5 linked regions of the Canis lupus familiaris genome follow. The protein of the gene in region 1 purifies or fractionates together with the protein of each later gene. This does not show direct contact. Links are inferred from orthologs where the notes say so. Each region holds a gene or a part of one and is shown on either strand. Other genes may lie near its edges. The genes, in order: DYRK1B, FAM117B, LZTS2, FAM53C and PTGES3.

Region 1 (5,921 bases):
CGGATTGTAGCCCTGAATGCCCACACCTTCCTTCGTAACGGAGGACACTTTGTGATTTCCATTAAGGTGCGGGGCTTGGAGGAGTCTAAGATGGGGTGGTAGTATTTTCTCTGTAACTGCCAAGCAGCTAGTCAAAACAAAGGGGCCAGGGCCTCCATTCTCCTAGTCTAGTCTATTCCCAGGCTCTACCCTGCATTTCCCTGCCCTGTCAAATAGCACTTGGTGAAAAATGTCTACAAAACTAAAAGGCTTTGAGTTTAAATAGCCAATAGAATGTAGTGGTCAAGTCCATGATGGCCGAGTCTGACCATTTAAGGTTTTTTGTTTTTAAAGATTTTATTTATCACAAGACACAGAGAGAGAGAGAGGCAGAGACACAGGCAGAGGGAGAAGCAGGCTTCATGCTGGGAGCCTGACGTGGGACTCGATCCCAGGTCTCCAAGATCACGCTGCAGGCTGAAGGCAGCACTAAACCTCTGAGCCACCCCGGCTGCCCTTGACCATTTAAGTTTGAATTCCAGCTTGTTCTCTGAGCAAGTTACCCAACCTGTGTTTGTTTTACTTGTCAAGTAGGAATATTAGTCGTATCTCTTTTAGTGTTGATGCAATGATTAAATTTATCAATATAAAGTGTTTAGACTAGAGCCTTGTATAAAATTTTAGATGAATACTAGATGCATTTTCAAAAACGTTTTATTTAAAGATCTTCAGCCAGGGATCCCTGGGTGGCGCAGCGGTTTAGCGCCTGCCTTTGGCCCAGGGCGCGATCCTGGAGACCCGGGATCGAATCCCACGTCGGGCTCCCGGTGCATGGAGCCTGCTTCTCCCTCTGCCTGTGTCTCTGCCTCTCTCTCTCTCTCTCTCTGTGTGACTATCATAAATAAATAAAAATTAAAAAAAACAAAACAAAACAAAACACCATCAGGTCAATAAAGTGTCCCTAAGATGTGTTTGTTTTAAAAAAAAAAAAAAGATCTTCAGCCAGATTCACCATTTGTTAGCCTTTTGCTCCATTTGTTTCAGTATTCTCAGCATTGTTACTATTGTTAAAGAAGAGGAAGTAGAAAAAACAAACACAAAAACCTGGGTGTAAAATTTAAACACCAGCTTTAAGACAGTCTCTGTTGAAGCCTTCCTGTTCCAAATCCAAACCAAATTGAAAACTTCTCTAATGAAGTCTTTCCCTACATTTCCAAAACCTGAGTTTCACTGAGTTTCCAATAATTTAAAAAAAAATCTTTTTTTTTTTTTTTTTTTAAAGAGCAACAAAAAGGAAAACAGTCCAGTGCTTTGCTTATAAAATTCAAATTCTTCTGCAGGCCAACTGCATTGACTCCACAGCCTCTGCTGAGGCTGTGTTTGCCTCTGAGGTGAAGAAGATGCAGCAGGAGAACATGAAGCCCCAAGAGCAATTGACCTTAGAGCCCTACGAAAGAGACCACGCTGTAGTGGTGGGTGTGTACAGGTGAGCAGGGGCCGGCAGCCCACCTGGACAGAGCCCTGCCAGTCAGCACTTGGAAGGAGTGCCCCAAATGGTGACAAGCTCTGAATCTTCTATCTCCTTCCTCTCACAGGCCACCTCCCAAGGTGAAGAATTGAAGCCCGGCGCCATCTGGATTACCAGAGATTTGTGTTGCTACTGTTACACGTGTTTTTCTATTAAAAGACTCATCCAGGGGCACCTGGGTGGCTCTGTCACTTAAGCCTGGGCCTCTTGATCTCAGCTTAGGTTTTGACCTTAGGGTCGTGAATTCAACCCGGCCTTGGGCTCCTTGGGCGTGAAACCTATTTAGGAAAAAAAAAAAATTCATCATCGCTCCTGTATGCTGATCAGAGACCTCCGTTCAACGGTGCGCATGCGCCGTTTTTCAACTGGCGCGGTGGTGGGGGTGGACCAGCTCATCCGGTCCCTCGTGCGCATGCTTCTCCCTTGGCTGCTTTTTGCGCAGCCGTAACCCGGCTTCCGGCGCCTGGGCGGGGCTGATAGCTTACGGTGCATGTCTGCCGGTAGACCCTGCTGCGCGCAGGCGCAGAATGTTACCTTGGGTCACGTGGGGGAAGCGAATGGGGGGGGTGGGGGCGGAGCCCGGGGCGGGGGGGGCCGGTTTGTTGTGGTCGCCATTTTGCTGGTTGCATTACTGGGTAATCGGGCCCTGGCTCGCCGCGTCCGTCGGATACCTTCAGCCAGTGGGCAGGTCTGAGCTCGGGCTTCCCGAGCAGCTTGAGTCCCCTTGCCCGCGCCCTCAGGTAACAACGCGGCTACAGGTGGGGCGGCACGAGCTCGCGGGGAGGGGGCAGTACGGGCCCGCCCTGCCCGCGTCGCCGCGAGACTTAGCACGAGGCCGAGGGAGCAGAGCAGGGGGGCGGCGGGCAGGTGCAGGCCGTGCCTGGCTATTCATAGTCGGATTCTAGGAAGTGGCCGAGCCCGAGGGAGCAGCCTTGGGAGGGCGGCTGGGAGGGGGTAGCGGGGCCCGGCTCCCGCCCTTTGTTTGGGCTCGGCTCCTCCGGCTGCATCGTCGTCGCCTAGCAACAGCTGTTCTGAGCTGCGATTGGCTGAGCTCTTGGCAGCAGCGGCCAATGGCACGGTTGTTGCCATGGCAGGTGCGGACTGCCAAGCTCAGGCCGGCCCCGCCCGCCGGGCTCCGCCGACCGGGGCGGGCCTCCAGGGTGGGGGGCGGGACGCCTGGGTCCCCAGGGGCGGGTGGCTGCGCGGGGCGGGGCCGGCGGGGCGAGGGTTAACCCGCCCCTCCCCCGTCCACCTGCTTTCCCCTTCCCCCGCGTGCCCCGGGCTGACCCTCGTTCCCTCCTCTCCCCGCCCCCGGCGGCGGCGGCTGCTGTTGTCACCCACCCGGCCGCCTGTCCCGCTTGCCCTCCCCGCCGCGGGGCTTGCCGGGCCGGCCGGGCCGGGACAGGCGGCCGTCTCCTCTCTGCCGCCACCGCCGCCATGCTGGCCGCTCGCCCACCCCACTGGGGGCCCCACCGCGCCCCAGCCCCCCGTGGGCCCCGCGCCAGCCCTGACCCGGGTAGGGGGTGGGTGCTGGGAGAGACGGTCCTGCTGTGGGAGGGCCCCAGGGAAGAGGTTGTTTCGGGTGAGGGGCGGGGGAGCTCCGAGAGAGAGGAGGGATCGTGGAGTGGCAAGGCTTGGCATAGGAGAAAGGGATTGACATGGGAGAAGGCCTGTGGGGAGAGGATTTTGGTGTGGCAGGTACTCTGGGAGGGGAGAACTCTATGTGATATTCGGGGATTTTGGTTTCTGGGGGCCTTCTAGGAATGGCACAGGTGTGGATTGACCCTGGTGTAGAGAGGAGTAACTGGAGAAAGAGCCCTGGTAGGAATATTGGATGGGGGGAGGAGGGAAAGATACAGTGTAGGGGAGAGAAGGGCGAGGGAAGAGACGGCTCCTCCTTGCTCCCATCAGAAGAAGTGAGCCTTGATTGGGAGGGGGACCACGGACTAATATGGGGAAGAGCCCTTTTGTGGCACAAAGAAACTATCTGGTGGGGAGGGTCCCTGATGTGAGAGGAAATGGTATAAGGATAAGGTCTTGGCATGATATGGGGAGGGTCCCCTGGGAAGGGGGTGCCCTGATGGATGAGAATGCCATAGGGGTAGGAATTTTTTATATAGGGACAACTCTGTATAACAGGGTAACCTTGGTATGCTCTCCAGGACCCTGATGTGGTTTTAGGGGCCTGCAGAAGACTCTGCTATGGGTGTGGAGGGGGCCCAGAGTTCTCTTGTGGTTTGGGGGGAGGGGAATCCTAGACTTCTCTAGGATCTACTGGGAAGGGTAGATCTTGAAGTGAAAGGACCTTGCTGTGATAAGAGGTGATCCTGACAATCAGGGAAGACTGCAGGAGGGCAGGATCTGGTGTGAGGGGGCCCTGGGGAGGGCCATAAATAGAAATGGGAAGCAAACCTATACTGTCTGTGGTTTCTATCTTTCTTCTCTTTCTCACCCCAATTATTGGTGTCTTTTTGTCCTTTCTTGTCATGGCCTTTATCCCTGCCTGGCTTCCAATCATTCCCTTTCACATGTTCCCCTCTTTGTGCCACCTACTTCATTTATTTGGTAATCATTTGTTGAGGGACTCTGCTGTGCCCCCACCCCCACCCCACCATTTTTCACTGTCCCCTTTCTTCATTGCCACCTGTTGTCCTTTTTCTCCTCTCCCTATGCCCTACCTTCTCTCTGGTGTCCACCTCTTTCCCACCTGTCCCTGTCCCACACATCTTCTTGTTCCATGTTGTTCCCCTGCCTCCCGCCTGCTCTCAGGTCTCAGCGGCGGTGGCAGCCGAGGTGCAGGATGCGAGAAGGCGCCCCCCGGCCGGGCTCCCGCTCCAGGCCTCGCTCCCCTGCGGCCCTCTGAGCCCACCATGGCCGTCCCACCGGGCCATGGTCCCTTCTCTGGCTTCCCGGGGCCCCAGGAGCACACGCAGGTATGCGTTCAGCTGGCTCCTCACATGCCTGGGGTAGGGGGAGGCTGGGGATAGAAGGGTCTTGGGGCCAAAAGATTATTTGGTTGCCCAGAGCAGTCTCCTGGGGCCATGAAAAGCCCATCTGGAGTGGAAGATAATAGAGAAGTTGGTGGCAGAGACTGTTTGGATAGCCTGGGTTCAAATCCTGACACAGGGTTAAATTACTTAGGTTCTACCTGCTTCAGTTTTCTTTCTCTTAAAATGAAGCCAAGAATGATAACTACCTCGCAGGATAGTTGTGAGGTTAAGCAAGTTAATGAAATGCATGTAAAATGCTGAGAATAGTGCCTGGCACCTAGGAAACACCCAGTAAATGTTCACTAAGGAAAAAAGGTCCAGAGTGAAAGATGGGCAGTTGGGGTGCAAGGGGGAGAAGTCTGAGTCCAAAGGATCCTGGAGCCAGCAGCATCTTACACTACAGAGTAAAGATATTCAGGGGTGGAGACTGTCAGGGCTCTGAAATGTAGAGCTTGAAGCAGGATGGAGTAGGAGGTGCCAAGGTGCTGGCTCCCAAAAGACTGGGGCAAAATGTGCAGAGTTGGGGGTGAAGGATAGGAAGATACCACAGGATAAGGGTAAAGCAAGATGGCAGCCCTCAAGATGGGACACCCAGAATGATGGTGGACTGGGAAGGGCAGAGCCTATGTTTTCTATCTGATCTCTCCCACGGAGGTTCAGAAAGGAGTAAAGGTGTAGGATGAAAGGTCAGGAGAAAATAGTTCACCATTCATTCACTCAGCAAATCTCTGATGACCACCCACTATGTGCCAAACGCTACTTGGCACTGCAGATACAGCAAGAACAAGACAGTCTCTGCCCTTGGGGAATTTCTGTTCCTGTTGGGTTGTCACACAGTGATCAAGTAAAATGTGTATATGGTGACAATGACCCGGCCACCCAGAGAGTTCTCCCTAAGGTTGTCTGTTAGAGGTAAAGGCCTATCCTCAGTGCCATGCCGCACCCCCCCCCCCCCCCCCGCCCTGCCTCACCCCGCAGGTATTGCCTGATGTGCGGCTGTTGCCACGGAGGCTGCCCCTGGCCTTCCGGGACGCGACCTCAGCCCCGCTGCGCAAGCTCTCCGTGGACCTCATCAAGACCTACAAGCACATCAATGAGGTGGGCGGGGGACCCAACCAGGTGCTGAGGGGTCCTGGCAGCTGGCACAGGGCACTCAGCAATCCTTATCTTCTGGCTGGCTGGGCAGGTATACTATGCGAAGAAGAAGCGGCGGGCCCAGCAGGCGCCACCTCAGGACTCGAGCACCAAGAAGGAGAAGAAGGTCCTGAACCATGGTTACGACGATGACAACCATGACTACATTGTGCGCAGTGGCGAGCGCTGGCTGGAGCGCTATGAGATTGACTCACTCATCGGCAAAGGCTCCTTTGGCCAGGTGCGGGGTGCCCCCCTTCCACCCTGACCCAGGGATAGAGAGGCATGGG
Region 2 (5,416 bases), on another chromosome or scaffold:
TCTTTCAGTGTGCTTATCACTTACCACAAAGATCAAGTATTTTGCATTCTAGAGGAAGTAAAGAGACAGCAAGGAAGTAACAACTGACAATATTATATATCTTGCTACTTAACACACCCATTTTTCTATACATTTGTGAAAAAGAATATACTATCTTTAAATTATTTCAGGTGAGAAGTGTCTGAAAAGAAAATCCGAAATGAGGCAACAACATTCATAAAAGCACATGGAAAAAAAAACTCTCAAGAACAGACTTTATTTTTAACATAAAAGTTCTATTTTCTTGTGAGGCAGCAGTAAGTGTCAGATACAGGGAATACATAAGTACATAATAACAATATTTATCACCATTGGAAATGCTGTTTTTTGGGGGAGATTTTTGTTAGAAAAACAAAATTTAAAAAAATTGCATTTTCAAAAGATTTACACAGCTTAAACAGATGAAAGATACAGACTTCAAAAAAACATAAATTATATTCTTCAACAGGATTGTATAAACAAAATATTGTTCAGGGCTGCTCTGCTTATCATTAATTTAAGCAGAGTAAAACTTAAACCTTAAAGTGCGAAGTATCCTTAGCTTTTTTAATGCAAATTCAGCACTTCCACTGGTCCAGTTTTGAGACATCAAAATTCCAAGCATTAAGGAATGAATCTTAAGTTAGAATAGTAAGCTGAATTCAGTAATGGCGAGTTTTATTTCCTTTAACAGAAGAAAATCTTGACAACCCAGTCCTAATCTTGGACATACAGAAGGCTAGAAATTCTGCCATTTTTTAAAATATCTCTTTTCCGGTAAAAGCCAGCCATTAAAAAGAAAAGAAAAAAAAAAGGAAAAAAAAAAGCCTTTCTTCTTGCCAGTTATTCCACAGTTAGCAATAGCACCTTCTAAAAGGCTGATTTGGCTTATCATAAGTGTAAGAAATATTTTAAACAAAATGAAGACTCTAGTTCAAAATAATTTTGGCATCCATGCTCATCATATTAACCAAAGAGGCAGAACAGATATTTTAAAAATATAATTGCTAACAAAAGCCATGACAAGTAATAGACTTAGTCATAATCAGAAACAATAAATTTCTATGTTTTCATCATCATAAGGAAGAAATCAAGAGAAATAACTTAAGACAAAGTAAATAATCAGAGAATAGCTCCTTTTGCCAAAATATACATGCCACCTATTTCTTTTACTGCAATGGAAGTAAATTTATTTAAAACTTTAAAAAATTTAAATTATATTCCCATTGAAGCTATTCTAATTTATCTTCTGTACAGTTTTCTACAGAATAGCAAGATAATTATGGAATGTAATTTTAGAAAATATTCTCTTGAAAGTAGATCCATTTTTTTTTTTTTTTTAATCAGCCATCTGTGAACTAAGGGTTAAGCAAAAGAGCTGAATGGACCTATGGTTAATATTTTTTCAAGACTGCAATAAAGCTCATATGCTTAAAAATTAGCCCTTTGGCACTGGCAGTTAGAGTTGTTTGTACCTTGTACCTTTTTGTCTTTCAAATCTCAGGCTCTATTTCTCCCAAACCCGAGGGATATGTTTGGTTGCCATACAATTAATTTACCTGCAAATTCACATTCTCCTTACAACCAAACGTTTAAAAGTTCCACTTATAAGACTATGTAAATTATAACTTTTAAACTTGTTCTCCCATTCTAGTTTTAAATTACTTTAAGGATATAGGACACTCTACAGAAAGATGTGAATTATACAAATATGCACAACAGAGTAAAAGGAAAAACGGTTTATAAAGTGGCATTTTAGTTACAAAATACCCTTGTCATTTACAGGAATGGACAGAAGAAAGTAAGTGTAAGGTAAAGAAAAAACCCACAGATTTAATGGAATTCAAGTAATCCAAAAACTGAGGGTTTTTTTTTTTTTTTTTAGAAACTTGTTTAAACTTCCTCCTCCTACCATTCATACCAACTCACCTGATGAGTTTTACCTTTTCTTCTGCACTTTTGATAGAGCAGTTCTCAGTGGTGAAATGGTAAAGTCAAGACACATAATAACAAATAAGGCAAAGAATCAAGGTTCTTCTCAAAAAACCAACCAACCAGAAAATTTAGACCCTGAATAACTGAGTTTTAGTGATTTAGAAGCCACAATGTACTATAAATCCAAGTAAGCTAGTTTTGGATGGAGAAATTACCAAAATTCATCAGTGCTACCAAGTGAAACCTGACAAACTTATTCTAAGGTCTGAATTTATCTAATTTGCCTAAATACATCTCCATCTTAAACTTCACAGGGCATAATTTTAATTAGTTAGATGTTTTAAAGGTGCATGAATATAAGAAGTCCTTTCAGAAGATTTATTGCTACCACTAGGTTTCCTCTGATGGTATATGTCTGAACAAACTGACGTATTAACCTTCTAAACTGTATCCCTTTTACAAGTATTTAAATTTCTCCCTATATGTATAGGAATATTAAATTATTGCATCATAGGTAGTATATGAAGATCTTAGAAGGATGCTTTTTATCAATTACTGTTTGCTGAAACTCATTTTAAAAAAGAGCTGCTCCTTAATTTCACTACCATATACACAAACATGAAATACTGTTGTCATGTGATACTGGCAGTGACTGTATTAAGATGAGCCTAAACCCAAAACTGTATGGATTTTTCAAAGATTCCTGTTGTTTAATATGCTCCAAAGCTCTCCTGGCCGGTCTTCCCCACTGTGTGGAATGCTGGAGGGAAAACTAGCAAAATCTATAAGCAACATATCTCAGTGCCAACCACCATAAAGAAAATGTCAGTCGCAAGACTCTGTGACTACGGATTGCTATTCAATGGATTACACTCCTGGCAAACTACTAACCCTGACCAAATCCACAAGACAACAACATCACAAAAGCAAAGGAGGAAATCCATGCACAGTTATTTTAGGACCTCTTGGAACTATGATACAGTGATGATAAAGGGAGATCATGTGGCAAGTATTTTGTAAAAAACCAAGGGGGCTCCTTACTCCTAGCTAGCAATCAACACTGGGTAATTTCCTTTTGGCTCACTGACTTTTAAACCAAGTTCCAATGACGGGTGAGAACATATTAAAGCACTTGTTTCCAGACTATAACTTTTCTGACCACATGGTGAAATGTGTACAGGTGTAGTGAAGAAAACAGCAGTTTTACAAGTATTTCACCCAAAGCACAAACTTCTGACACCAAAAAACATAAATCACATAATGTACTAATATTTAATATTGCTTTTTATCTCATTATATATTTGTCCAATGCATTTACCTATCAATTCTTGTTTGGGAGAAGAACATAGTCATGAGATTAAGATTGCTGGGAAAATGTCAACAATCCCTTTGGTCCCAAAGCTGAAAACAGCTGAGAAAAGCACACATCTAGAAAGGGAAACAAGAAACAAGAGGCCACCAAAGAATCTTTGAACATCCTGTTTGCTACGTTTCAGAAAATGTAACATTGGTATTATAAAATAGTCATTTTCATATAAAAGATGGTTCTTGCAGCATCATTCATGTCTCCCTTCAGGAATTAGGTTTGCAGAGATTAGTTTTTTTTTAAAAAAGAAGTTTAATTTGAAAACAAAAAAACAATGATATTGGCCCTCCAAAAGTAAAGAGTGAGACCTTTCTTGTTTCAACCAGTGCTTTAAGAAAAAGCAGGCTAAGCAATGAGGGAGCAAAGCCATCAGAGGGCGCTGCCTTCTTCCAGAAGTCATACTGTGACGTGTCACCCTGGAAAGCTGGAGCATACCACAGCCAACTGGGAGCTCGCGATGCCATCACAATGAAATGATCTGAGGAGGTTCTCAGTTGCCCAGAAAAATGGCCACACAGCCCTGTGACCTATCCTTCAGCTTCCTCAATTGGTTCTGGTGGTGGGAGTAGAGAGGCCGATGGCATGACTGTACTCGTTCCTCGAGAGACTCGGTCTTGCTCTGTGTTTGTGGACAGGGAGGCCACAGCAATAGGCTGCAGCAGAGTGGTTGTCATGCCAGTGGTAACTGTCAGACTGTGACCAGAGCCCTTGAGGGTAAGATCTGGTGTGGGAAGGAGTGGCTTGAGGATGCTGACGAGGCAGAAGGCAGAGCCGCTTTTAGGAATGAAATTCACCTTGTTTTTGTCAGGACAGTAAAAGGCTGGGATTTCGTGAAGCTGTTTTGGCCTAGGCACAGAACAGACAACCCAGAAGTTTTAAGTCACAGAACAATGAAGTTAAGTTCTTTTATTATTTTTTTTCTAAACAGATAACTTAGAGATACATGAATATAAAACTCAGATTATATCAAAAGCTTCAAATGCTCTAGGCCAAATTGGAATTAGACACATAATTCAAAATATATATCTTAGAATGCCAAAAGGACATCATACGTCTTTGCTGCTTTCAATTCCCTGGAGAGCCTCATGCACCATACAGGTGACTCAGGCTGGTGACCACTGCATCTCACTGAGGTCTAAGACACCCATTATAAAGAACTTCCTAAAGCAAAAGAAATTCTACATGTTTAAAGACAAAAATATGTTCCACTTACTACAGTTTTTCCAAAGCCTGTACTATTTTGAAGGGAGAAGGCAAGTCTTTTGCTAAATTCCATGACTGCACGAAAAAACTTTGGTAGGCATGAGTTATCTCTTCAAGTGTGCTTAAAAATCTCTTTGACTGAAACTTTTTTTTTTTTAGTTAACCATGATGGTTTTCTGAGAAACATAACAGAAATGTAAAATCAAAATAAAAATAATGGTGTTCTATGAAAATAAAGATATTAAAAAATTAAATTGTTAAAGTAACATGGAAGTGCCACAAAATTAAAAAGAAATTAAGGTGGGAGAGCCTAAGTAAATCAAGATTCAAGTGGGAAAAGGCAATATGATTCAAGATTCAAGTGGGAAAAGGCAGTATGATTATATGATAAAAGTACGGTGCTCAGCTCTCCTAATGAAATTCAAAAAATTAAAATTTAAGTGTGCCAAGTCTGCAACAGATTCTGGGGACCCAAAAATGAAACAATCTACAAGAAGATAGATTAACCATGTAGTTCATGGGGGGAGGAAGATACTGGGTATGGAACAAATCCCATTTTTAATGTTTTCTGCACTTCAAACATTAATCACCCAAGTTATGAATTACTTCAAGCATCCCTAATCTTTGCCACACAGCACAAAAAAGGTCAAGAGCTCCTGTAAAGGTCTGATAGATGTGATAAAAATGGCTTATATAAGGTTTAGAGATAGCACAGGGGAGTGGATAACCTGTGGCACAGAGGAAGAGGGAAAATTTGCTAGAAAGAAGGCTTACAAGGGAAGTAATATCTGAAATGAAGATATCAGAAATTATTAACAGACCTGTGGAATGGGTGGGGAAAAAGAAGCTCCAAGTAGACAATGCTTTTGGTGGGCAGATTTTATTAATAGTGCC
Region 3 (5,941 bases), on another chromosome or scaffold:
AAAGGGCCTTGACCCTCATATCCCTCTACGTGTCTTCTTGGCTTAGGGATGACAGGATGGTGCCTCTTTATCCCTGTCTTCCCTGAGGATCTCCATGTGAAAGGTGTGGGTCACCAGGCCACATGCCTAGGCCTTCCTTCCCTGACCAGCTGTCCCTAGGTGATAGAAGCCACTCACTGACCTCTCAGTGTGGTATCATGCTCAGTGTCTTCTTATCTGGCTCCCCACCCACTTCCCTCATCCTTGTACACTCAGTGTTTCTCTTATGTTTGTATGTGTCAGAACTCCTGGGACTCTAAAAATGTAGAACCTAGGGCCTACTCTCCCCCCAATAAACACACACACAGACATTTTTAATTCTGGAGGTCTCAGAAAAGGTACAGAATTCCTCATTTTTAACAACTACTGAAGGAGATTGTAAAGTTAGAGACCTACTCAGAAATAGTCCCAAGGGAGACACTTTTCCCATCTCACTTACTCTGATATCCTAAAGTCCCATTTTCCCTTTAGATTTGCATGCAAGAATGGTCAGAATGCAAAATGTTGTGAGGAGGCTGGGGAGAAGGCTTTTGTAAGGATGGGCAGAGGAGGTTTCCTGCTGCCTTAAATTCTCTGGTCTACCTAAGAGGGCTGCCTCTGGGGCCCTGTAGAAGGCTCTGGGGTCTCTGGTCTGTTGTGAGGACTGACTACAATTATCTCCTGAAACAGACCCTGGAACAAAGCTGTTCTCTGGGGGAAGAACCTGGGGTGGAGGGAGGGGGTAGTTCCTCCAGGGCCTCCCTTCTTGGGGGTCTCTCCCAGACTGGCTGGAGCCAGGCCTCCTAATCCTGCAGTAATCATTCCCAGCCGCTGGCTGGTCTATGCCTCATCCAGGGTCTGTAACATTGAATGTCAGCCATGCCTTCCAGATGTACACCACCAGGTCATTCCTACCTCTAAGGATTCTGGTCTACTGGAAGGCCTGGTGTGTTCTCAGAAAATCCTTTAGCTATTTCCATTAGGGGACTTTTGTGAGGTCTCTGTGAATTGGGGATAGAAGGATAGATACGCACTTGCCTGTCTTGCTCCACCCTCCTAGCAGACATCCCCCCCCCACACACACACACACAAAGCACAAATCCGAATGATGGGAGAGGGGAAATTGACACTCCCCCAACCCCACCCCGTACACACACATTCCATTGCACACCTGTCTTAAACTCACATCAAGATTAGCCAAAAGTATGTCTAGAAGTCCCTGGAGCCTAGAAAGCAGTAGGGGATCCCTGGGTCCGGAATAAGGTCCCTGGTAGCCACTGTCCCTGTACCCAACCAGAGTGGATTGAGGCAAATTACCCGGGCTCTTTTTCCAATCGGATATTAATCACCCTGAGAGTTTAGGAAGGGCCTGGCCCAGCTGGGTCCAGCTGGATCTTCAGCCGTGTCTTCAGATTTAGTGTCGTTTTTTCAGCTTTCCAGTCGCTTCTTTACTGCAGGTGAGTTGGAGAAGAGATTAAATTCACTGGACTCCTCCTGTGCAGATACTCTTGCTGCAAGTAAGGCTCAGATACCTGTAGATGACAGTCTGTGCCTTCCCACAGGCTGCCTCGGGTGCCACAGATGGAGCCCTAGGTGCCTTCCTGCAATACAGGGCAACTTCCTGTTTGTGCCTGTGGGTGGAACTTTATGAGTGTAAGGGAAGCCTGGCCATGCTCTGTGGGGGGCCAGAACTGGCAAGTATGCTCACCTGGGTAGGCACCTACTGCGGGGAGGGGGGAAGGGGCTGGCTCTGCTAGGGCAATTCCGACCAGAGGGTGGGGCGGGGTCTGTTTTAGTGAAACCCGAGCCTTCTTTGTCTGCTTCCTAGGGGTTTTCCTTGTTCCTGGGGAATGAGCTGAGAGCCGACCCGGTTTGGCTCCTTACAGGGTAGGGCAGGTGGCAGTAAAGTCCTATCGTCAACTTGGTTAGGCCGGCCAGGTAGTTTAGCTCCCGGTCACGTGCTGTTCGCCCCTTTCCCCAAGTCGAAAACCAAATCCAGAAAGCTGTGAAGTCGGAGGCCAGAGGGGCAACCTGGCCACCACCGAGCTACTGCTGGGCTGGGTACCGGGTCCGCCGTAGAGGGGGTGCTGGGCAGACCACTCCCCTCCCTGGGTCGGGGGCGCGGCCTCAGCCGCCCCGCCCCGCCCCGTTCCACCAGGCCGGGCCCGGCGGGCGCCGGGAGTCCGGAGCCCGGAGCTGGCTGGGAGCCGGCAGATCTGCGGCGGAGAGGTGCCGGCGCTCGGGCAGGAGCTGGGCGGGAGCGGCAGCGGCAGCGGCAGCGGCGGCGCAGGTGGCCTGGGTGAGTGGTGGGGCCGCGGAGGTGTGGGCACTCCGGCCTCCCGCACATGCCGGGTCGGGAGCGAACTTTCCCGGTCTGGGGAAGCTAGGGGGTGGAGTGAGGAGAGGGTCCCACACTGGGGTCCGGGGGGCCCGCAGGCGAGGAGCCTGAACAGGGAACCGACACGGAAACTCACGCCAGTGGGTGCACACGCGCGCGCGCCGAGACCCACGCACATAGGACACACGTGCACTCAGGAGAGGACGCGCCCAGTGGGTTACCCTTGCAGTCCCTGGAGCGGCGCCACTGGCCCGCACGGAGCCCCAGCTGACAGGGTGCTCTGCTGTCCCGTACTTGGCAGGGGTGGGAGAAGGGGCTGCCCGGTGACCGCCGACGGGGGCGGGCCGGGTGGGACACCTCCGGAGGTTCCTGCTTCCTGGCCGCCCACAGGTGAAGACTAAGACGTAAACAGGCGCCGAGCACGTGATCGCTTCGCAGACGAGTGGGCTGTGCTTCCCTCGCCCCCGCATCAGGGCGAGGACCTCCCTCCCCAACCCTGGGCGAGTCTCCGAGGTCTCCTGTCGGGCCGTATTCCATTCTCCGCCTCAAGAAATGTTAAGCCTTCCCCCTGAAATGGGAGCACAACGCCCCCTGGAGTCCGGGTAGCGCAGGCCTGGAGACTCTTGGGCTCGGTGGGGTTACCTGGGCTCCTTGCCTTCCTTCACCCGAACGAACACGTTCGTGGGGCCCTCATCCCGGAAGGTATCGGAGGAGGGCGCTATTTCGGGTGGCAGTATACGGCAGCTCCGGCCCCATACCTCCAGTCTGGGGAGCAGCTGCCTGAGAGCCGGTGGGTCCCTTTCCTACCACCACCCCTCCTTGCAGAACTGGGAGCTCCTCCCTTCAACTGTAGGAGCCGAAAACCCACTCGTGCGAGAGTGGGAGTCCTCCTTTCCCAGAGAATGCATAAAGGTAAATGTCCTCGAAGTACGGGAGTGGGCCTATCCCCCTCCCCTAGAAGGGAGGATGAGCCCCCTCCCCCAGGGAATGAGGGAGTGGGCAGCGGCCCTCGCCTCCCTCTCTGCCCCACCCTCCACCCCTACACACACGCTGAGCCCAGCTGCTGCCTGAGCTTCCGGGCTGGCTGCCAGAAAGGGGAGGAGGCTCCTGGTGCCCCAAGAGGCTGGGATCAGGGCAAGGCCAGAGGAGGGGGTCTCTACTGGGGAGGGGGGCTCAGTCTATTCTTATGTGGCTCAGGGTCTGGGGTGAGCCTGAGGGTGGTTGGGCTATGCCTCCCTTTCCAGGGAAAAAGAAAGAAAAACAACCCTTTCCATAGAGCTAAAAATAGAGCTGAGAGCTGGCCAGGGCTGTGGCCTGGAAGGGGGGGATGCTCCTTCCTGGGGCAGAGGAGCTCTGGCAGGCCTTGGCCTTGGGGGTGGGGATGCAAGTAGGGGGTGGGAGGCCTGTCCTTGGCTGGGGGTGTGGGCATCAGCTGACCTGACCAGAGACCCCTCAGGGGGGAAAAAAGTCTTTGTGGTAAAAAATGCTCGTGAAACACCATGGGTATGTGTAAGTTGTCTGACTGAATGAGACCACCAATGTGTTAAAGATGTTTAGGAGAGGAAGCCCATTTAAGATTGTGACTCGGTAGGAAGGACTCTGAGTCCTTGTGAAAGATTGTGCACAAGGTGTGTGACACCCAGTGTGTCTGTGTGTAAGTTGGCCTGAAAGATTATGGAAGGAAGGAACCTGGAATCACGTGATGGAGGAGACTGTGATTGTGGCTGCGTGGGACCGAATGTGGGAAAAGTCGTGTGGGTGTTAGGAAGATTGTGTTGTTTGCGAGAGGGTGAGACTCTCTGTGACCCTGAGAAGACCGAGGGATGTTGTCAGCTGTGGGACTGGTGTAGGTTCTGACTGTAGGTTTGGACCGCCTCACCCCAGTGATTGTCAGGGGGCCAGGGGCTGCCTCTCTCCCAGCAGTGACCTCTCTTAGCAAATGATTCTCAGGGAAGGTTGGGGAGCAGACGGCCGCGCGCGAGGCAGGCCTGGGCTCGCGGGGGGCAGGCTACAGTGCTGGGCAGTCCGGTAGGGGCCCCCAAAGTTGCTGGGGTGGCGGTGTATCCTGCGAACGCGCCGCCTGGTGGCGCCGCCTCCGCAAATCCGAATCTGCCTCCCTCCACCGCTGGGGGTGGGGCAGGCACGGCCCGAGCCCGGGTCCGCGACCCGGCCCTGGGGAGCAGGGGCCCGGCGGCCGGGGCGGGTGGGGGGGCCGGCCCTCCGCGCCCCGCTCGGGACTCCGAAGCCGGAGTGTGTCTTGCGGGGGAGGCTTCGACCGGAGGAGCGGAGGGGGAAGGGCGGCCGCCGTGGCGCCGGGCCCTTTGTGCTGGAACAATGACCAGCTGCCGCTGGCCCCGGGGCCCGGGTAGGGGTGGAGGGTGACCCGCCGCCGCCGCCGAGTCCCCGAGCCCACCGGGCGTGGGGGGTCCCGAGGCCCGCGGCGCGGCCCCGCGTGACGCGGGGTGCTGCGCGTGTCCGCGCCGGGGCGGGGACGCCCCTCGGACCCCTCCCCCGCGCTGCGCCGCCCACTCGGGCCGGACGGGGGCCGGTCGGGCCGGGGGCGCCGCGGAGGCGGGGCCGGGCCGGGCCGGGCCGGGCGCCTCCGAGTGGCCGCGCGCGGGCCGGAGCCGGGCGGCGCGCCTGTGGAGCGCTGGGGGCGGCCCGGGCCGAGCATGGAGCGGCGCGGCGGAGGTGAGGGGGGGCCAGGGCTGGGAGGCGACCCGGGGGCGCCCCCAACTTCGGCGCGGCGGAGGGCCGGTGGGGAGGCGGAGGAGCGGGGAGAGGGGGGAGGCCCGGAGGGGGCGTTGGGGGTCCCGGCTTCCTGGGGGAATGGGAACTCGTCATCCCGGACTTGATCCCGCCTGACTGGTCCTTGGAGTTTGGTGGGGGAGACTTTCCCCAACTCTTCACCCCCCAAAACAGGTCTGTGGGAGTTCAGCTTGGCCAGACCTGCGCGGGCCCCAGCAGCACCCAGCGCCCAGCTGCCCCCAGCTGCCCCCGGGCCCACCAAGGGGGAGTGCGTGTGTGTGCTGGGCCCCCGTGACCACTCGGGGGGTGCTGGGGAGGGCCAGGGGTTCCCTTTCCCAGAGCCACAGCGCATTTCTCAAAATGGAGCCTCCACTTGCCCCTCCTTCTCTCTCAGGCTCCCGCTCTTGGAGCCTGGCCGGCTGGGCCTGCCTTTCCAGAGGCCTGGCTCTGGCTCCCTGTGTGTCTGGCTCTCAGGGCCCAGTATTTATCTCTCTTGTGGGTTTAGGGGCCCCTGGCTCCGTGGGATTCAGGGACCCAGTCCCTGGGTCAGCCTGCCTCCTTGTCTGCCTGACCCCAGGGCCTCTCTGAGCCTTTGTCTCTGGTCTTTTGGGTCCCTGTCTTTCTCTGAGTGTCTGTCTCCTCCCCTTACTTCTCACTTTCTTGGTGCTCACTGAAGTGGGCAAATGCAGAGGTGCCAGCCTCCACTGCCCCCAGGAAGCCCCTTCCCCCCAGCTTTCTCCATGCCCTGGAGTGGTGTGGAAGAGGGCAGCAGAGGGGATGTGCCATCTGCTTAGCTCAAGGCTGGCATTTGGTGGGTGGGCTCTGTTCACCCCCAGC
Region 4 (6,151 bases), on another chromosome or scaffold:
GAATCTGAGTGCTCTCACAAAGTTCTATCATTACTACAACTAATTCTCCTAAAATGTAGCCCCAAAAATAAATTTTCAAGATTTTTTTTTAATGGAACAAATCATACTTGAGCCCTGAGAGTTTTTAGAGTTCTATTCATGTTTGCTATGAAGTTTTTTCTTTCTAACCATTACCTCATACCTTCAGCTGACTTCGCTAATTACAACCTAATTATATGTAAGTTTCCATGCATACACACAAAAATGTATTAAAGGGTAGTATGTATTTTATTTTTTTAAATATTTTATTTATTTATTCATGAGAGAGACAGAGAGAGAGAGGCAGAGAGAAAAGCAGGCTCCATGCAGGGAGCCCGACGTGGGTTCGATCCCGGGTCTCCAGGATCATTCCCTGAGCTGAAGGTGGCGGTACACCGCTGAGCCACCCAAGCTGCCCGGCAGTATGTATTTTATTTTATTTTATTTTATTTTATTTTATTTATTTTATTTTATTATTTATTTTTGGTAGTATGTATTTTAAAGGGATGTCAGATACCATCTTATATCTATCTTGACTTCTAGGGGAGTGAGTTTATCTAAATTACCTTTCTCAGAAGAATATTAGAAATTTAGAAAGTTCAGTGCTTAATCCCATCTGAAGATTTATTTTTTTCCCATTGAATTGAGGACACTGGTCTTACCTTACTCTCAGGAAATCCCTAATGAATCTCTGAATTCACTGTGATAAACAATGCACTGTGCCCCTTTATTTTGGCCTGAGTCTGACACTTATTTGCCATCGCCAGGGCAAAGCGACAGCCAGGACTTCACCCTCAAACACCAAACAAGAAGAGGAGGTACAGCCGCCGCTCCTGGGATGCCCAGATCAGGCAGTGGAGAAGAGCCCTGCATTCCTGGGATCCCCCCAGCCAGCCCCCGAAAGGCAGGAGGTCCGAGGGGTGTGTGTATTATTCTTGGTTCCTTGTTAGGAGTGGTGGACTGAGCCCTACCTCTCCTCACTTTGCAGAGGTTTAGCTTTTTCTGGCTGAAAAGGGATAGTCTGAAAGAGGTGCATATTCCTCTGACTCTGCCACTTTCCCAGCCAGGGAATGGAGCATCTCTTAGAGCCAATGGGTTCCACACCTACGGATGACCTCCTGGATGACTGGTTCCAGGCCCTGGAACCATCAGTGAATCTGAATGAAGACCAGAAGGGAGCCCAGGTAGTATCCTTTTCTAAAACCCATTGGAGCAGGGTTAGAGTAGGGTCTGGCCCACAAGGTAACAATTAGGATGGGATTCAAGGTAGTAGTCGAAAAACAAAAGAAGAAAAATTGGGCAGCAAGAAAAAATAGGACATGAATTAAAATATCTAAGAAAAAGGTGGCATAAGGACATTTAATTGTAGTTAACAATGGTGGGAAATTGGGCTGCATTGGGGGTTATTTTATACTTGATGAAAGGAGTACAATATTTCTTGGAATTGAGGCCTTGAAACCTGATATGGCTTTTTTAATGTCTCCTTTTATTTCAATATTTTGCAAATGAGCCAATGCTAACTTTACTTCTTATTCTCAGTCACTGAACTTTAATAAAGTATGGTTGATAATAAAAACAAGGATTACCAAGTGGAATGAAGACCAAGGGCTTTAGAGCCTCAGGACTGCTTTATAATATTACCTTTGTCCACCACATGGACAATCACTTCATCTCTCCAACCATTTCAACTGTCAAATAGGGAGATTTGTCTCATTTGATGATTCTAAGCAAAAAATAAGAATACATATTAAAGTATGTAGCACGGTGCCTGGCACATAATAAGTGCTCCACAACAGCAATTATTGGAAACTAGGTCTCCCCACTTCATGGCCCCTGTCCCCTCTTTTGCCAAGGAGAAATGTGCAAGGAAAGGAAATGTGCAGTGCATCTTCCTTCCACCCCCATTTTCTTCATAAGTAGCTCACTCTGCCTCTACTCTTCTTTTTCAGTTTGCAGACTTGGTACCTCCTGCCTACTCCTTTCCCTGGCTCTATGAGGAAGAACACCACTGGTTCTACTTTCTAGCTGATCACAGTTACATACCTGTCCCAGATTTGAATGAGGCACAAAATATTTAGAGAAAGCATATGTCTTTCAAGGGACGTGTTGCTAAGTGTAACAGTAAAGATTACCTGCATTACTGCTACTTCCCAATGGATTAAAAAAAAAAAAATCTAAAACTGCCCTACAAAGAGATCACAACACGAAAGCATTGTTTAAAACTTCTTTTTCCATTTCTGCCTGCTTTTCTAAACCTTCTTTGATAGCTGAGCCTCAAATTTACATAAGAGCCAGTAACCATTTTGCTGTTCCCCAACCTCCTCCCTACTAACGTCTACATTCAGGCTTCTCAAAAAAGACTTAAACTTTGGCTGAGGTGGGAGGTGATGGTAGTGGTGGAAATTTAATAAAGGGTGGCATCCTCTTCCTGAAGAGGAAATACAAAGCTATCAACATCTTTTACCCAGCTGCCTGTTTCCTTCCTCCCTCCCTTTCTGTCTTAAGGAAAGTGGTCCAGCTGTAACCACCATACTCCCCCCCCTCCCCCGCCCACCCCCGCAAGCAACTGAACCGCCTATGATGTCATAATCACAACCCCATTACCTCATCCTGCTGGGGGGTGGGGGTGCGTAGAGGAAGGAGGAGGAGTGAGCAGCCCTGGGCCCTTTTCAGCTTTACAAAGTGTTTTGGGTGAGGGCTAATTACAGAATCAATTGGGAACGGCCCCGCAACCGTTACAAGTCCTGGGTTTATAAGGTTGGAGGGTATCCGGCAGCTGGAAGAGGGGCTCCCGGGACTCAGAGCAGGCCCTGATCGGCTCTTGGACTACATTTCCCAGAAGTCTTCACGCCGCGGGCCGGTCCTCTGCTGGCGGAAGGGGGATTCCTTCTGAGAGGTGCCCGTAGAGGGCGGGAGGAGAGAGCAGGTAAGAGCAACTCTGGCTATTTCTGTTACGCGGCCCGAACCGGGTAGGGGGCCGTACTAGGGCCAATGTTGGAATGGAGGGCGAGGAGAATCGCTTTGTTTACCTTCGTCCGACACGGTCTCCCCCGCGGGTTTGGAGCTGTGCCGCCAACTGGGTCCGTCCACCTTCAGCAATATTTTGGAGGGGGTGACTCGATAGTGAAGAAGCCACCTTCATCCCTAAATCAAAGAGCTTGGCTCATTCCCGACAGCACTTTCCAAAAAAGATTTTGGGAGAGAAGCGACGCGGGGTTCGAGCCTCCCCGGGCGGTTCAGGGCGATTCTGCGAACCAGAGCGATTCCCCCACTCTCCTTCGGGGCCCGTTGGTTCGCGCCGGCGCCTTTTAAGGGCACCGTGGGGCGAACGGAGCGCTCAGAGCTGCTCCGGCCGCGGCCCAGGGAGCTGGAGGAGCCGCGGTAGGTGGCGAGGGCAGGTGGCGCTGGGGCCTCGGGGCGGGCACCTCGACTGTCCCTCCCTCCTTCCCTCTTTCCCTTCCCCCAGCCCGGCGGCGCGCGCGGCACGGCCTCTCTGGACGCCTCCACGGGGAGAGCACGGGACCCGGTGGGGGAGGGGTTGGTGGAGTGCTAAGTCCCAGACCCTTTCCATCTCCTGCGTCCTGAGTTCGCTTCCCGCGGCCAGATGATGGAAGCTGATTGGGAAGAGGCGAAAGACAGCCCCCCTGAGCGAGCCCTGGTGCCCCCCTAGGGGCTAGCGGACGCCCCATGCCCCACCCCGCGGGGACAGGCAGGGCAACCGAGGGAGAGGTTGAAGACTGGAGGGGGGCCTAGCCTTTTGCTTCTTCATCGGGGTGGGGGGAGGGGTGCTCCCCACTTGTCACCCCTATCCCCGCCAGAGCCATATGGAGGAAGAGCAGTCAGTTCCCCACTTACCTGTTCATGTACCTCCCTGCCTCCCTCATGTTTTTCTTTAGTGTCCCCCAGAGGTGTGGGGCTGGGACCTGGGGGGAGGGTCCCCAGGGGATTTGTGACTCTCCTCCCTCTTGGCTTGATTTGATCCTGGGTTCTCCAGGTTTCAGCACAACCTTAGCATCCCTGAAACCCCAACGTCAGGGGTTACTACCATCCAATAGTAGATGGGGTGGGGGTCCAGTCTTTATTTTAGGGGGCTGTTGGTGGAGGGAAAGCCTGGATTGAGAGTTGGGCCTGGTGGGGTCGTAGGGAGGGCCTAGCGGCCTGCTGCTCTGTGAAGGGCTGAGCCCTGTGCCAGTTGTTAAGCTGAGAAGTTTTAACTTGTTTAGTGAACATTCAGGGCTGTCTCTGCCCCTCAGATACACAAAATGGAAGGGGAAGGAAGGCGGCAAGAGAGGGTTTCTTACACTTTTTTCTATGCCTGCCTGAGAAAGAGGAGGCCCCTCGCGGAGCTGGTTTGCCTTCTTTTGTGTCCTGGTTTGATTCCTTATGGCTTCCGTTCTGTTCCCCCTCTCAGCCTGGCCTGTTTTAGGAAACTCAGGCTGAGAGTATCAGTTGCGTGGTGGTAGTTGCATTGTTCCAATTACCGCCGTGTGTGGCCACATCCCAACAATTAAAATGCAGAAAAACACAAAATCACTCTCTTCACTTGATCCCAGAGAGGGCTGGGAGTTTGCTGTTTGGCCAAATGCCTCATGAAAAGCTTGAAAGACTTTGCTTCACTCCCTGCTCTTCATGGCTGGTGAGCCTGAGGCCTGGGATCTCTGGGGTAAAAGCCTGCAGTTAGGGTCCCTCTCTAGTTGATCTTTTGGGGGCAGAGTTAAGAAACCAAGAGCAATGTGATATAAGCTTTAGCTTTTCCCACAAGATCATAGGGGAAGCCGCTGAAGGGAGCTCTCAGGAAGCTAGAACTTCTTTGAGGGTGGTAATAATAATTATGCATGAAAATGATAGTTAACTGTAATGATGGTTGATTTCTCCCACAGCTTCCAAAAAACTGCAGATACATCAACACGTAGTTCTTTGCTTTTCTTTACTTACTTCTCTCCAAGGTGGAACGGGGTAGAGATGATTCCCTCTTTTTGCAAAAGTAGAAAGTACTCTACCTCCAAGGTCACAGAAGAGCTGTTTGGGGCTTCCCTGGGTGTTCAGGTGAGGGAGGTTGGCATCCAGCCAAATAGATAAACCCAATTGTCCTCTTCAGATTAATGATATTATCACATGTGGCATTCTTAGGCTGTGTAGAGCAACAAACAGGAGAGTTTGAGAAACAGTCTATGTGGACTCCTGATTTGTGCAGGTTAGATGGTATGCTTTTTACACTTTGATATTTCACATTATATTGTACCCATGACACATTAAGACATTTATTCTGCCCATTTTACATGTAGGTTAACTAAGGCCAAGAAAACTCCAGTGATTTCCCAGAACTGTCCCAGCAAATTAACACAAGACGTAGATTTCTTGAATGTTTGTTATATCTACTGGAGAATGCTACATACACCTTCTGATGAGCTGTCTGCCTGCTGGTCATTTCTGGGAATAGGCGGAACCATATGGAAACACTAGGTTATCCTCCCCTCCTCCATTGAGCAAGGCCCCTCAGGCAATTGTGTGGGCTTGAAGCCTGTTCTCTGATGGAATTAGTTTGCTTATACTGAACTTGACCATGGGAAGGAGCCTTGATTAATTGAATCCATGGTCTTTGAGTAAGATCAGGCTAAAAACTTAGTTGAATGAAGTCATACAGTTGGTGTTTTTAACATGTATAGAGTTGAAATGTAATTGGAAAAATCCTGGTACCATTTCTCTATCTTCTTAACCCTTTTAGAGAGAATATTTACAGTATCTGTTGGAAAACAATAATATATCAAACACTGAAGCTTAGGGAGAACATAAAACCTTGTTTACTCTGATTGATCTGAAGCAGAAAGTCATTCCTACAACCAGTTCTCCTTGCTGTTCCCTGTTCCTTTTAATGTAGTTTAGGGAAATGGTTACCTCTCTGATTCTGATTGGAAGATAAAGTATTGGGGGAATCAGGATGAAAGTAACCATTTGGATATCCCTCTCTCACTTGAGCTGTTTTTTAAGTGGTGCTGGTACTCTGGGTAGGCAAAGCCCAGCATGAACCAGGTTAGGGGTGGCAATTAGGTCTCAACTTGCTTGCTTACTCTAGTTCGTTTTACTGGTTAACTAAAGTGTCAAGTTCAGGATGTTTCCAAGGCTGTGTTTAGGC
Region 5 (5,416 bases), on another chromosome or scaffold:
GACATCTTGGAAAAAAAAGGCTTACTTTAATCCTTAATTTTGCGAACTAAAACATCCTTACACACCACTCATCATGCACATCTCACTACCATTTTTCTGTTTAAAGTTTATATTCATATTACATGGCTCTAAAATGCAAAGTAATCCATGCTCAAAAAAAAAAAAAAAAAAAATCAGGGCAGCCCCGGTGGCGCAGCGGTTTAGCACCGCCTACAGCCTGGGGTGTGATCCTGGAGATCCGGGGATCGCGTCCCATGTCGGGTTCCCTGCATGGAGCCTGCTTCTCCCTCTGCCTGTGTCCCAGCCATTCTCTCTCTCTCTCTCTCTCTCTCTCTAAATAAATAAAATTAAAAAAAAAAAATCCGTTTCAATACTAGAATAACAACTGGCTGTAAAAACAAACAAACCAACACCCCACCCCCCAAAACTAGTTATATTTGCATTGACAATACGGTTTATTTTTGTCTGTATACAAGTTTAGAACTTACCACTAATTTTTAAAAGAATTATAAAAGAATGTTAAACTTTAGGATAAAATGATCATTGTTAAGATCTTACTTTGTTTTGCTGCAGAATGACCTTTAAAGTAAAAAAAAAATTAGGTCTTAAGTACCACTAAGGTGCTTTAAAACCAAATTAAATTCACATAGAAATGTACTGAGAGGTGGTAAAATGCGCTTATAGGAACTTACCTCAGAGAAACGATCAAAATTAGACATGTCTTCATCTGAATCATCTTCCCAGTCTTTCCAATTATTGAAGTCCACACTAAGCCAATTAAGCTATAGATCAATACAAACATCTTGTAATTAGGTTAACTTATACGTACAGGTATGTATGTATGTACCTTAAACAATATTTTTGGGACTGTAGGTTCATACTAATGAGGCATGGAATTAACAAAAAAGACAAAAAATTAACAAAAAAAATAATAGATTACAAAAAAATCAGAATGAAGTAAAATGCAATTAATAGTCAAGATAGTTTCACAAAGCTTCTCTCACAGTTCTTAATCATAATTTAAAAAAAGGGGGGGGGAGAGGGACACCTGAATGGCCCAGTCAGTTAAGCCTCTGATTCTTGATTTTGGCTCAGGTCTTTATCTCAGGGTTGTGAGTTCAAGCCCCACACTGGGCTTCACACTGGGTGTGGAGCCTACTTAAAAAATAAATACAACAAAATTCATTGGTAGGAACTCTTCTCAGATACAACGGACTTTTTTTGCAGCACAAAATATGTTCCCATGTGATACATAAGTAACTAATAAAGCCTAAGAATGAATGAATGAATGAATGAATGAATGAATGAATGAATGAATGAATAATAAATAAATAAATAAATAAATAAATAAATAAATAAATAAAGCCAGCCAGCCTAAGAAAAATCTGCCTCTTGAATTCAGCAAAAGATTCTGCATCAACTAGGGACTGACCTTATTCTGACCACATTTGGTTTTAAGTTAAAACTAATAAAACTCAAAGAAAGGAAAAACATATAGAACACAAGACTTTAATACCACTTAACTCTGAAACAAACATTTTATTCCTCATGCCAAATGTGTCTTTCATTACTTAAAAATGTTCAATTTTTCCCTCCCAAAAAAGAAACATACCTTTGCCCTTTCTTTTGTTAACCTTGGCCATGACTGGCCAGATTCACCTTTTCGTAAACAACATAAAATTGATCTGTCCGTTCTTTTATGCTTGGAATCCTAAAAACGAAAACAAAAACAAAAGCACCATCACATCATTTCTCTCCAGTATCACTGTAGAATAGAAAATAGCTTGTCATTCCTCAACTTTCCTTTCTAATTTCTTTCCCTACGTTTTCTCAACTTTAAAGAAACATCTCCTAGATTACTAAAAATTCAGTAGCTATGCAAATTGCAAAAAATAACTTTTCCCTCCCTGTACAAAGTGAATAAAACAAAAACCTTAAAAAAATTAACCAAATATATGGGATCCCTGGGTGGCGCAGCGGTTTGGCGCCTGCCTTTGGCCCAGGGCACGATCCTGGAGACACGGGATCAAATCCCATGTCGGGCTCCCGGTGCATGGAGCCTGCTTCTCCCTCTGCCTGTGTCTCTGCCTCTCTCTCTTTCTCTGTGTGTGACTATCATAAATAAATAAAATTAAAAAAAAAAAATTAACCAAATATAATACAATCATAGAATAATTTAAAGATTCTATAAAGTTAGATTAAGACAAACCTCAAGAATATTGCCCTAAGTCCAAACAGTGATAGCAAGAACAAAAGAAAGAGTATGCAGAGAGGCAGTTGCAGAGGGAAATATTGCAAAAATATAAATACGCCTAGTTAACCTCTGAACTTTTTTATTTTTTATATTTTATTTATTTATTCATGAGAGACAGAGAGAGAGAGAGAGAGAGGCAGAGACACAGAGGGAGAAGCAGACTCCTTGCAGGGAGCCCAATGTGGGACTCGATCCCAGGACTCCAGGATCACACCCTGGGCTGGAGGCAGCCACTCAACATTCAACCTGAGCCACTCAGGCGTCCCATAACCTCTGAACTATTAAGAAAAACAATTACTGCTTACTGCTAAAAAGAGTACTTGATGTATGCCCATTTCCTCACATATAAATTGGAATTAAAGCATCAAGACTACTTACATTTGGATCAATACAGTGAAAAAGATCAATTTCATTTAAATGTTTAAAATTATCACTTCCTCCAAGACAACTGTGTAAAAAAAAAAAAAAAAATGAGCCTCTTCAAAGAGATAAAGATTAGTATTATTTTCAGTAAAAACACAAAACAAGCTAGCCAAAGTTACTCAGTTGTCTGACACAAACTTATTACCCAATGATGTAAAATGGTAATTTACCTGAATGTAAGTTTGGATTTTTCAAAATTTACATTAACATCTTTACTGTCTTCAACACAAAATTCAATGAAGACGTAGTCCCTTCGATCGTACCACTTTGCAGAAGCAGGCTGCCTACAAAGAGATAAAATTAGACAAAGTTAAGCTGGAATTCATTAACTGAGTATTTACATAACCTCCAGAGTTTGGCATATAAGTAACGTTTCTCTACTCCACTAGAACACTGATTATTTTGAGGCAGATTATTATTATTTTAAATAGGGGCTTGAACTGCCAACCCTGAGGATCAAGACTGAATCTGGTTTCAAAGACCCTGACACTTAACTGACCGAGCCACCCAGGTGTCCCTTGAGGCAGTTAACTATAATTTCAAATGGAAACTACATCTTTACTCTTTAACAGCTGCATTCCAAGTTAAAACACAATGATACTGATTTCACAATAGGAAAGAATTAAAAAATGAAAAAAAAAAAAGGAAAGAATTATAAAATGAAACAACATACAATAGGGTTAACCATTACATTGCCCTGTCAAAATTTATGTGCCATATACCTTTAGTCTTGCTCCTAAAAAACAAACAAACAAAAACAAAAAAAACCATCAGAACTAATCCACTGTCAACTGAAATTCAGAAACATTTCTACTTATAATGCCAGAACTAGGGAGAGGGTAGGGGAGATGATGGTAGAATTGACAGTGCTTTCTTTTTTTTCTTTCTTTTTTTTTTTTTGACAGTGTTTTCAAAAAAGTTCTCATCTGTAGCTTATTTCTGACTATATCAGGCAACCATTTTCTGGGGACAAATTTTCCTAACTTTAATGACATTAAAGAATTAAGCTTTTTTACAGTCTTCTATTCTTCTACACATGTATCCAATAGATACTATACTGGAAAGAACCTGGACTATTATCTTTTAAAAAATCTTATTCTAAAAAAAGGATTTTATTTATTCATGAGAAACAGAGAGAAGGCAGAGACATAGGGAGAGGGAGAAGCAGGAGCCTGACATGGACTTGATCCCAACACTCTGGGATTACACCCTGAGCCAAAGGCAGACACTCAACAGCTAAGCCACCCATAAGTAACCTCACCCCCAATTCTTAAGTTAAAAAAAAAATCGTTCCTTTACAGTTTTTCTCTTAAAAAGGTCTTTATTTATTTTCCAAATAAATAAGAAAGCAAGTGAGCAAGAGAGAGCAGGAGGGGGAGGCACAGAGGGAGAGGGAGGGAGAAGCAGACTCCCCCACTGAGCAGGAAGCCCAATGTGGTGGTCAATCCTAGGACCCCAGGATCATGACCTGAGCAAATGGCAGATGCTTAACTGACTGAGCCACCCAAGTGCCCCAAAACTGTTCTTTGTAATCTTTAGACAAATATCCTCATATGCATAAAAATTCCTAGTAAAATTCACACACATACACACCCGAACAGCATTTGCTCCATAGAATGAACCAGAAAGACAATGAGGGAAAGGAAGCAGAACCACATGATTTTCAATGGTTTCACTTATTTCCTAAAAATAAGCATGTTCTGGTGATAATGTAAAAGTTAAAGTTATAGGCTGGCTATACAGGAATTTTTATTATTATATTTTTTTAATTTTTTGGACTCTTCTGTAATCCTCGAAGTTAAAAAACTTAATTATCGTATGTTCTAGCACTACACATAAGATAAAAACTCAAACGAAAGGAATTAGTTTCAAAGCTCTGAAATTCCCAACCCTAAGGAGTAGCAGTTTAAAGTCCCTATAAATAAACAAGTTGCAACCAAGTGCTCATCAGTGTTTTTACACAACTGTTAAACTTGACTAGTCATATTCCACTCTGGGATATTGATATCAGATCCAAAGGAGGTTAAAAACTATGGATGGCAGTTTTCAAAGTCTAAATACTAGCCAAGCAGCAAGGGTAAAGCTATTTCTTTAGGCATCTATCAACAAATTTAAAAAACAAATAGATTTTTACATGGATCTGAAGTCTAACCAAACTTCTTTTGGACTAAGGAATCACTTTTAATGTCAGTATGTTAATACAGCTAACAAACAAGTTAGGAGTTTTATGAATAGGTCACATTATTTTTAGCTCATTTCTTACCAAAATGGCACTCTCAATATGTGGTAACCTGTTGGTCTTTAACAGAAAATATTTGCTAATAATGAAAACTTACTGGTTTTAGGTTCATAGATTTTTTAAATGTATTTTTTCAAGATTTTATTTTACTTTTCTATTAAGATTTTATTTATTCTTGACAAAAAAAGAAGGCAGAGACATAGTCAAAAGGAGAAGCAGGCTCCCCGCAGGGAGCCCGATTCAGAACTCGATTCCAGGACCCCCAGATTGCAACCTGATCCGATGGCAGATGCTCAACCACTGAGCCACCTAGGTGCCCTGGTTCTTGATTTTCAAATTGAAGTGACCATATAGTCCTATGTTTAAGAAGTGCTCGAGAGGGCAGCCCGGGTGGCTCAGCGGTTTAACACCACCTTCAGCCTAGGGCGTGATCCTGGAGACCCGGGATCAAGTCCCACATCAGGCTCCCTGCATGAAGCCTGCTTCTGCTTCTGCCTGGG

What was found.
Region 2: the proteins of DYRK1B (region 1) and FAM117B purify together in Homo sapiens (affinity purification with mass spectrometry; 3 studies listed by BioGRID and IntAct, counting the BioPlex papers as one, with this or other methods). This does not show direct contact. The link is inferred for Canis lupus familiaris from reciprocal best matches to the Homo sapiens genes DYRK1B and FAM117B.
Region 3: the proteins of DYRK1B (region 1) and LZTS2 purify together in Homo sapiens (affinity purification with mass spectrometry; 3 studies listed by BioGRID and IntAct, counting the BioPlex papers as one, with this or other methods). This does not show direct contact. The link is inferred for Canis lupus familiaris from reciprocal best matches to the Homo sapiens genes DYRK1B and LZTS2.
Region 4: the proteins of DYRK1B (region 1) and FAM53C purify together in Homo sapiens (affinity purification with mass spectrometry; 3 studies listed by BioGRID and IntAct, counting the BioPlex papers as one, with this or other methods). This does not show direct contact. The link is inferred for Canis lupus familiaris from reciprocal best matches to the Homo sapiens genes DYRK1B and FAM53C.
Region 5: the proteins of DYRK1B (region 1) and PTGES3 purify together in Homo sapiens (affinity purification with mass spectrometry; 3 studies listed by BioGRID and IntAct, with this or other methods). This does not show direct contact. The link is inferred for Canis lupus familiaris from reciprocal best matches to the Homo sapiens genes DYRK1B and PTGES3.

Annotation. Positions count from the first base shown.
Region 1 is NC_049222.1:114,428,448-114,434,368, forward strand, and holds the start of DYRK1B (dual specificity tyrosine-phosphorylation-regulated kinase 1B), read left to right. Parts: upstream 1-2,090; 5' UTR 2,091-2,247; intron 2,248-3,294; exon of another isoform or gene 3,295-3,328; intron 3,329-4,276; 5' UTR 4,277-4,377; coding exon 4,378-4,440; intron 4,441-5,475; coding exon 5,476-5,595; intron 5,596-5,683; coding exon 5,684-5,872; intron 5,873-5,921. Other genes in the region: FBL (rRNA 2'-O-methyltransferase fibrillarin), read left to right, coding at 1-66, 1,320-1,465, 1,575-1,599.
Region 2 is NC_049258.1:11,517,178-11,522,593, reverse strand, and holds the end of FAM117B (protein FAM117B), read right to left. Parts: intron 4,166-5,416; coding exon 3,847-4,165; 3' UTR 3,382-3,846; coding exon of another isoform or gene 3,303-3,381; 3' UTR 241-3,302; downstream 1-240.
Region 3 is NC_049249.1:13,867,962-13,873,902, forward strand, and holds the start of LZTS2 (leucine zipper putative tumor suppressor 2), read left to right. Parts: upstream 1-2,160; 5' UTR 2,161-2,317; intron 2,318-2,746; exon of another isoform or gene 2,747-3,268; intron 3,269-4,364; coding exon of another isoform or gene 4,365-5,456; intron 5,457-5,941. Other genes in the region: proline-rich protein HaeIII subfamily 1-like, read right to left, coding at 4,365-5,456. UniProt on the Homo sapiens protein: Negative regulator of katanin-mediated microtubule severing and release from the centrosome. Required for central spindle formation and the completion of cytokinesis.
Region 4 is NC_049232.1:25,987,741-25,993,891, forward strand, and holds the start of FAM53C (protein FAM53C), read left to right. Parts: upstream 1-2,630; 5' UTR 2,631-2,944; intron 2,945-3,047; exon of another isoform or gene 3,048-3,399; intron 3,400-3,873; exon of another isoform or gene 3,874-3,891; intron 3,892-6,151. Other genes in the region: SLBP2 (uncharacterized LOC474694), read left to right, coding at 786-938, 1,082-1,202, 1,968-2,096.
Region 5 is NC_049231.1:1,242,377-1,247,792, forward strand, and holds part of PTGES3 (prostaglandin E synthase 3), read right to left. Parts: intron 2,962-5,416; coding exon 2,848-2,961; intron 2,703-2,847; coding exon 2,633-2,702; intron 1,712-2,632; coding exon 1,613-1,711; intron 783-1,612; coding exon 693-782; intron 1-692. UniProt on the Homo sapiens protein: Cytosolic prostaglandin synthase that catalyzes the oxidoreduction of prostaglandin endoperoxide H2 (PGH2) to prostaglandin E2 (PGE2).